2 linked regions of the Saccharomyces cerevisiae S288C genome follow. The protein of the gene in region 1 interacts with the protein of each later gene in a biochemical or structural test. Each region holds a gene or a part of one and is shown on either strand. Other genes may lie near its edges.

Region 1 (3,663 bases):
GTGCAATGGAATCTATGGGTAAAACAACTGAAAACCCAATCAAAAGTATCAAAGAAACGAAAAGGGAAGCTTTGTATAACCACGACTTGAGTTTTGCGAATCCGGACATCTACTGCTAAGTATGGACACTCGTGTCTATAGATAGTATCAGGCCAAAGTTGTATAGCGGTATCTTTTTTTGAATAAATTTCAATGTGTTTTCCTCTGTTTAACCTCCCACTTTCTTTGATGCTCAAGAGCAATAACTTTATCGCAAAATAACAAAACTTTAATATGTGTTGTAATTTTGGCTAAACCCAGTTCAACATCACCACAAAAGAAGGTTTCCTTTATGCCCTTACCCTTTCTGCCTTCTTATTCTAGAATTTGTTTTGATGCTGTATTTGTTTGGTCCTTGTTCGTCATCGAAAAACCGGCCCAAAAACGGCTAATAAAAACGTGAACCTGTTTTAAGTCTTTTGCTATAAAAGATATTTATACTCTAAAAAAAGGGAAACTTTTGCAGCAAAACAAATTTTATGCATTAGTTCTCTGTTCTTAACTTGGTCAGACAAAATTCGTCCGTTTGTAGTTGTCTGTACAGGAATTCATCGAGCGATATTCTATCCTGAAATACATATGCCATTAAGTTACATCCTGAATAGATTCCTAGTCATCTATCAGCAAATATTCATCTTTTAATTTGAACCAATTCCGTTTTGTTCCATGTAGTTTCAACCAGCTATTCAATGACTGCAAGTAAATTTGGTTATTCTCCCCAATACAGTTCAAGTGCTTCAAGGTCAAAATAACATCATTGACTCTCATTCCAGTCACGATGGAAAGATCCTCCAGGGTCACTTTATCATAATGGGCGAGGTCACCTTCAATAAGGTGCCAACAGAGTATCTGTGACCAATATTTCAAGTACCCGATTAGTCCAAAAGGTGATAACGGTACTTCTGGCCCTGATATTACACCTTCTAATTGGGATAGTTTGTATGAAAACTCGATAAGTAAAAGGCCTAATCCACGTCGTTGATATGGGGGAAATATCAAGATGCACGCTAGATTATTTTGCTGATATGACACTAAATCTTTCGAAAAGAATCCCATCGGCTTTGTTGATCCAGTTTCATAAACTATGTAAAATTCATAATGATCTACTTTGAAATACATGGATTTATTGTCCAGATATAGCTTAGTGAAAAGACAAAGACATTGGCAAAAGAGTTGATACTTGGATCCTTTTACTCTTCTTATTGTATATTCAGGACTCTTGTATTTTATTTTGCCTGGAACACGATATTGAAATGGACAACTTGCAACATGTCCTACAAACCGCGTCTGATCATCCGTGTATTTGAAGCAGTATTCACAAACGAAAAGAGTGTCTAGCCAGTATTGGCTGTTAGAAACAGAGGAAAGCTGACCCTTGGTCTCGGAGCACCCTAGCCTTTTTGTTTCAGGATCGAAATAAACGGCGCTCCCATACCAAGTAGAGAATTTTTTATTCAGTCCAAACTGAATCTGTCTTATGTTCCTTTCGTTCAGTATTCCATATAGCATCTCTTTTTGAGTTTTTTTAATTTTTGCTGAGGGCTTATTCTTGCCTTTTCCACCATTCTTCTTTCCTTTTAGCTTCTGGGTAGTCGCTGTGAGTGATTGACTTAAAGATCTTGCCATTTTTTTTGCGAGTGAAAACAAAAAGCAACTAGAAAATAGGAGCCTCCAATATCAAAAAATCAAACTTCAATTTAACAGATTCTTAGAGCGCTACATACTCTATCCAGTTCGATATGGACAAGACTTAATGATTTCATCATCTCTTCTGATTAACGATTCTGTTATTCTTCATATTTACGCGCCTAACATATCATGATGATTGGGTGTTCCGAAAATTTTCATTGGCGATGAGCTGAGTATTGAAAGCTCATTATAGTATTAGTATATTATTGTTAATAGCAAGTGCTATATGCTATAAAAATGCAATTACAACCCAATACTAATAATAGAGTGTCTTAAGAAATATAAGTATGGGTACTTACAGAAAAAGGTTTAATGAAAAAGCCAGATCCGGCCATATGGCCAAATTAAAAGAACTGAAAAGAATTAGGAATAAGCAGTTCACTAGACAGGATGAAAACGATGAAAGAGTAGAAAACCCAGATTCAGCTCCCGCTGAGAGTTCTACTACGGAGCCAAATGCCAATGCGGAAATTCTTGAACCTCTCACTGAAGAAGAAAAGAAAATGAAGAAAAGAAAACTACAGGAGTTATTTACCCCAAAGGAATCGAAAGTTTCGAGATTGAAGAAGAAAAGACTGGATAAATTTATTGAACATCAATTAAAAAGAGAGGAAAGAAAGACAATTATTGGTAAACTTCAAGATTATAAGATAGATACAAGTTTGTTGACAAGCTCTAAAAGGTTAGGAGAGGGCAGGCAGACTAAAAAGGAAGAATTCAAAGAAGCACTGAGTTTAGAACGTCAAGGAAGAGGAAATGAACAAACAAATGAAATATTATACGAAGAATATGAACCAAAAGTTTGGGATGAGTATGGTGAAGGAGGGAGCTCTGAGGATGATGACGGCGAAGATGATTTCGAGGCTTCATTTGGTAGTATGCCGAAACCAACGGACAATGAGGAGAAGAAATCATCAGGTTTTATTGATCATAGACCAGCAAAATTTGGTGGATCTGGTCTTAGCTTTGGGTTTAGCAATATAAAAGTCATAAACAAAGAAAGCAAAACTCCGAAGAAGAAATATAATTGGAGACAACGAGTAGAAATGGAAGAATTGAAGAAGCATGGGAAAGAAGATGAAATGGATTTCGACACGACATCTGAAGATGATGACGAAGAGGAGGATCAGGAAGAAGAAGACAAAATGCATCCTAGTGAAAACCCACTCGAAGAAGTTGAAAGCGCAGATAGTGAAACTGGCTCAGAAAAATTTGACCAAAATGATGTTGCTAACGAATTCAAGGATTGGGCCAATCAAGAAATAAAAAAATTGGAAGGTAGAGATCAAGAGCTAGTTACTCCCACTTTGAACATCGATTATAAACCGATAATTAGAAAGGAAGATTTAGATGATGGTCTCCAAGAAGCTTATGTTCCAATAAACGAGAATTCCACCCGTAAAGCCTTCTATGTTGAAGTTAGCAGATCAGATGAAATTCAGAAAGCAAGAATTCAACTACCAGTATTTGGTGAAGAACACAAAATTATGGAGGCTATTCACCATAATGATGTAGTGATTATTTGTGGTGAAACGGGGTCAGGTAAGACTACACAAGTCCCACAATTTTTATATGAGGCTGGGTTTGGTGCCGAAGATTCTCCAGATTACCCAGGAATGGTGGGTATCACTCAACCAAGAAGAGTGGCCGCTGTGTCCATGGCTGAACGTGTAGCTAATGAATTGGGGGACCATGGTCATAAAGTAGGATACCAAATTAGGTTTGACTCTACCGCAAAGGAGGACACAAAGGTCAAGTTTATGACAGATGGTGTCTTGCTACGAGAAATGATGCACGATTTCAAGTTGACTAAATATTCCTCCATTATCATAGATGAAGCACATGAAAGAAACATTAACACTGATATTTTGATCGGTATGCTTAGCCGTTGTGTTCGGTTAAGAGCTAAACTACATAAGGAGAACCCGATCGAGC
Region 2 (4,060 bases), on another chromosome or scaffold:
CTAACATTTCGAATATCACATTTGTTTCTCAGTACGATTTGGTGTCCCTACTCAAAACCATTGATTTAACTACAGATAGATTAAAAGAGGTTATCATGGATGAAATAGGTGACAATGTTTCATCGCTATCCGTATCAGAAGAAAAGCTCAGTGGAATAATTTTAATACAGTTAAGCTTACAGGATTTGGGTACTTATCTACTGCACTTATACGGGTTAAGGGATGATGTGCTTTTATTAGATATTGTAGAAGAATCAGAATTGAAGAACAAACAACTCCCTGCAAAGAAGCCGGATATCAGTAAGTTTTCCGCACAGTTGGAGAATATTGAACAGTATTCATCAAATGGCAAGCTTCTTACATATTTTAGAAAACACGTGAAGGATACGTAAATATATTGCACTTAAAATATACATAGTATTAATAATCATTTTGCATTTTCCATGCTGATTTTTCACGCAGGTTTTGAGAAGCAACTATGAAATATTGAATTTCATTTACACCATCGCATTATATTAGTTCAAACTAAACCTTTTTTTTCTTGCGGACAGGCAAAATATTAATACCTGAGTTAGTTTTCATTCCATTGTGTGTTTTTACAAAGGTCTTTTCGTTACAAGAGGGCACTATTGCTAAGTTTGGGTTGATATTGTTAATAATAGCACCCACATTCTCAGAAGACCTTTGTGAAATCTGAGATGCAGTGCAAGATGAAATTGAACCTAAAGGTGCCTTCTCTGAAAGAGTTGGACTTATAGATGCAGCATTGTTCCTTAAGGCATTCATTTCTTTTGATTTGACAGTCTCTGTCACAGATATTTCCTCCGCTTTAACATTCAGTTTCATAGACTTTTGTGTATCTTGCCTTATATCCCGAATGACTTCTGGTTCCACCTCCATCGTTAACGGGATGACTTCCCTTCTTCTTTTCACAGCAATTTGCGTTGATATTCGAGGAGCTTTCTTGAATTTTTTTGGATTTGTGGGAACTTTGTTTTTCCATGAATTTCTCTCTTTAGTGGAGGTTTTAATCAAATACGGTTTTCGGAGCGGCTCAGCTACGATAGCAAACCGTGTCATTCCCTTTTGTGATTGATGATCGCTCAGCAGTACTATAATGGAACCACCGCATTGCTGCTCTCTCTTCTTTAGGCGTCTCTCCCTTATTTCCTCAACGGTTATTTTTTCTTCTTCTTCGTCAGAGGAGCTTGCGTAATCTGGAATAAAAGTTCGATCGATTCGAGTATATATCTTGGGCCAATCTTTGCCACTAACCAATTTCAACAATGAATCACTTGAGGCTGGCCTTCTAGCTAAATTGCGGCTTTTTTTTTTCATAGATTCAAATTTATGTAACATTGAATCAATCAGCTCTTTAGTTTGGTAACGTTTAGTCTCCATTTCATTCTCGTCAGTGGGGTCATTTATTTTAGTAACCTTCTGTAATGTTACTTCCCAATTCAACATACCCAGTCTGTCTGAAATTAATGAAAGCCTGTCTGCTTCATTTTCACCATTTACGATGTCCGATTGAATCATTCTATTTTCTTGCTTCAACATTTTCTTGTGGTAAGGCTGATACGTGCTATCAGGAAGCAAATCATCAGTTGGTTTTCTAATATTCTGGCTCAATTCATGATGTTCAATTTCTAGTGTCATCTTTGTAATTGTCTCTCTCTTTTTCTTGATCTCATCATCGACATTACTCATGAACGGCGACTTCATCACAGGTTTCTGACAACGCGTTTCGTCAACATGCTCATCTACAGTAAAGCAGGACTTAGATTTCCTTAGATGTCCAGCATTTGGGTTTATCCTGCTGACTAATCTTAACTTCCTTTTAGGGTTAATTTCGTATTCTTCTGTATCAAAATCGAATTTTTCAAATTCTCCATGACTATTTTTAATCTCAGACCTCAGCAATCTCTCAGAAGTATTATTTGCTTCTTCTATTGATTGAAAAATACCCATTGATGAACTCTCATATGCTTTTAATGCTGTAGAAATTTTCGGTTTTCCTTTTTAATCTTGCTACTTTTTGTTTTGAGATCGCTGAAATCAACTCGCGGGTTAGATTTTCTTATTTTTAAAAATGTAGAACGAACGATTATGGAAACAACAATAACCAAAAAGAAAGGGAAAACAGTACCGCTTCTACTAATCTGTTGGATACATTAGACAATAAGCTCTAGGAAGTATGGTATATCGTAACAGGTCAAAGAGCGTTTTATCTACACACAGCAAGAAGAGCGACGATAAGGCCCACTATAAATCACGTTCGAAAAAGAAATCAAAAAGCAGGAGCAAGAAGAGGTTAAGAATCTACTGGAGATACATATCTATTGTATGGATCTTATGGTTAGGATTAATATCTTATTATGAATCAGTGGTTGTGAAGAGAGCAATGAAGAAGTGCCAATGGTCGACTTGGGAGGATTGGCCTGAAGGCGCTGAAAGTCATAGGGTGGGTTTATTTGCAGACCCACAAATAATGGACGAATATTCATATCCTGGGAGGCCTCAAATAGTTAATTATTTTACAAGAGTGATTGTTGACCATTATCACAGGAGAAATTGGAAATATGTCCAGTATTACTTGGATCCTGATAGCAATTTTTTCCTAGGTGATCTATTTGATGGAGGGAGAAACTGGGATGATAAGCAATGGATTAAAGAGTACACACGATTCAACCAAATATTCCCCAAGAAGCCACTGAGAAGAACGGTCATGTCTTTACCAGGTAATCACGATATTGGTTTTGGAGACACAGTTGTTGAATCGAGTTTACAGAGATTTTCTAGTTACTTTGGAGAAACTTCCTCCTCATTAGACGCTGGAAATCATACCTTTGTACTTTTAGATACAATTTCGCTTTCTGATAAAACAAATCCGAATGTCTCGAGGGTTCCTAGACAGTTTTTGGATAATTTTGCAATGGGTTCACATCCGCTTCCTAGAATTCTTTTAACTCACGTTCCATTATGGAGGGATCCAGAACAGCAAACGTGCGGTCAGCTACGTGAATCCAAAGAACCTTTTCCTATTCAGAAAGGGCACCAGTACCAGACAGTTATAGAAAACGATATATCACAAGAAATTTTAACGAAAATTCAACCAGAAATATTATTTTCCGGGGATGATCATGACCATTGTCAGATATCACACTCATATCCGTTTCAGGGGAAAACTAAAAATGCTCAAGAAATTACAGTAAAGTCATGTGCAATGAACATGGGGATCAGTAGGCCTGCTATTCAATTGCTCTCCTTATATAATCCTTCAGATTTGACAATGGTAAATGCCGGCGGAGAGTATGCATCAAAAACTTACCAAACAGAGCTATGCTATATGCCAGATCCCTATAAGGCAATCAGAATGTACCTATGGGGATTATTATTCTCTGCTGCCTTTATCGCATACATGCATTTTTTCCCAAAATCTTTTAATAATCGCGTAGCAACCATAATGAACAGAGTATTTACACGACCTGATGGTAACACCTCAGATTTGCCATTACCTACAAGTATTTCCAAATCGAAATCCAAAAAATCATTGACACATAGTAAATACGCTGTGAATGATACGCGTTCGATCAAACAATTTCTAGTTAATGCAATTGTCCTTTTTGTTTCTGTGATGCCCATTTTTATTTATTTTTATACTGTAGTCTAGACAGAATTACTGCTATTCTCTTCCAGGATCAAAATGCTTTGAAGGGAAACGTCTGGCTATTTAATATATGCGAATACACCTTATATACAGACAATGAACAAGAGATATAAATTATACCGGGTGTGGTATTACTATGCTCACCAAACAGTTTGCATAACCTCTACTGGATTTGCATTATGTTTTGTGGTCCAAGCTAAAACTGCAGGACTGGGCGTAACACCAATTACTTCACTATACGGGGACAAAAAAGAACACCTAGGTAAGTTGTTGGTTCCTTTAGTTTTATATCAAATTTAGCAAGTCATGACGGCAAATTTCTTTGTAAGCTTTGTTTAAAAGATGGATACAAAAGGACGACTTTCCTTTCAATCTTTCGTTTTTGCTTTT

The links.
Region 2: the proteins of SAS2 (region 1) and SAS4 form a complex in vitro, tested with the Saccharomyces cerevisiae proteins (2 studies listed by BioGRID).

Annotation. Positions count from the first base shown.
Region 1 is NC_001145.3:521,681-525,343, forward strand, and holds SAS2 (histone acetyltransferase), read right to left. Parts: upstream 1,666-3,663; coding exon 649-1,665; downstream 1-648. Other genes in the region: DLT1 (Dlt1p), read right to left, coding at 1-109; ATP-dependent RNA helicase ECM16, read left to right, coding at 2,016-3,663. UniProt on the Saccharomyces cerevisiae protein: Histone acetyltransferase (HAT) subunit of the SAS complex, a multiprotein complex that acetylates 'Lys-16' of histone H4 and 'Lys-14' of histone H3. The SAS complex is however unable to acetylate nucleosomal histones.
Region 2 is NC_001136.10:825,385-829,444, forward strand, and holds SAS4 (Sas4p), read right to left. Parts: upstream 1,972-4,060; coding exon 526-1,971; downstream 1-525. Other genes in the region: cohesin-loading factor complex subunit SCC2, read left to right, coding at 1-392; putative lipid phosphatase CDC1, read left to right, coding at 2,198-3,673; YDR182W-A (uncharacterized protein), read left to right, coding at 3,767-3,970.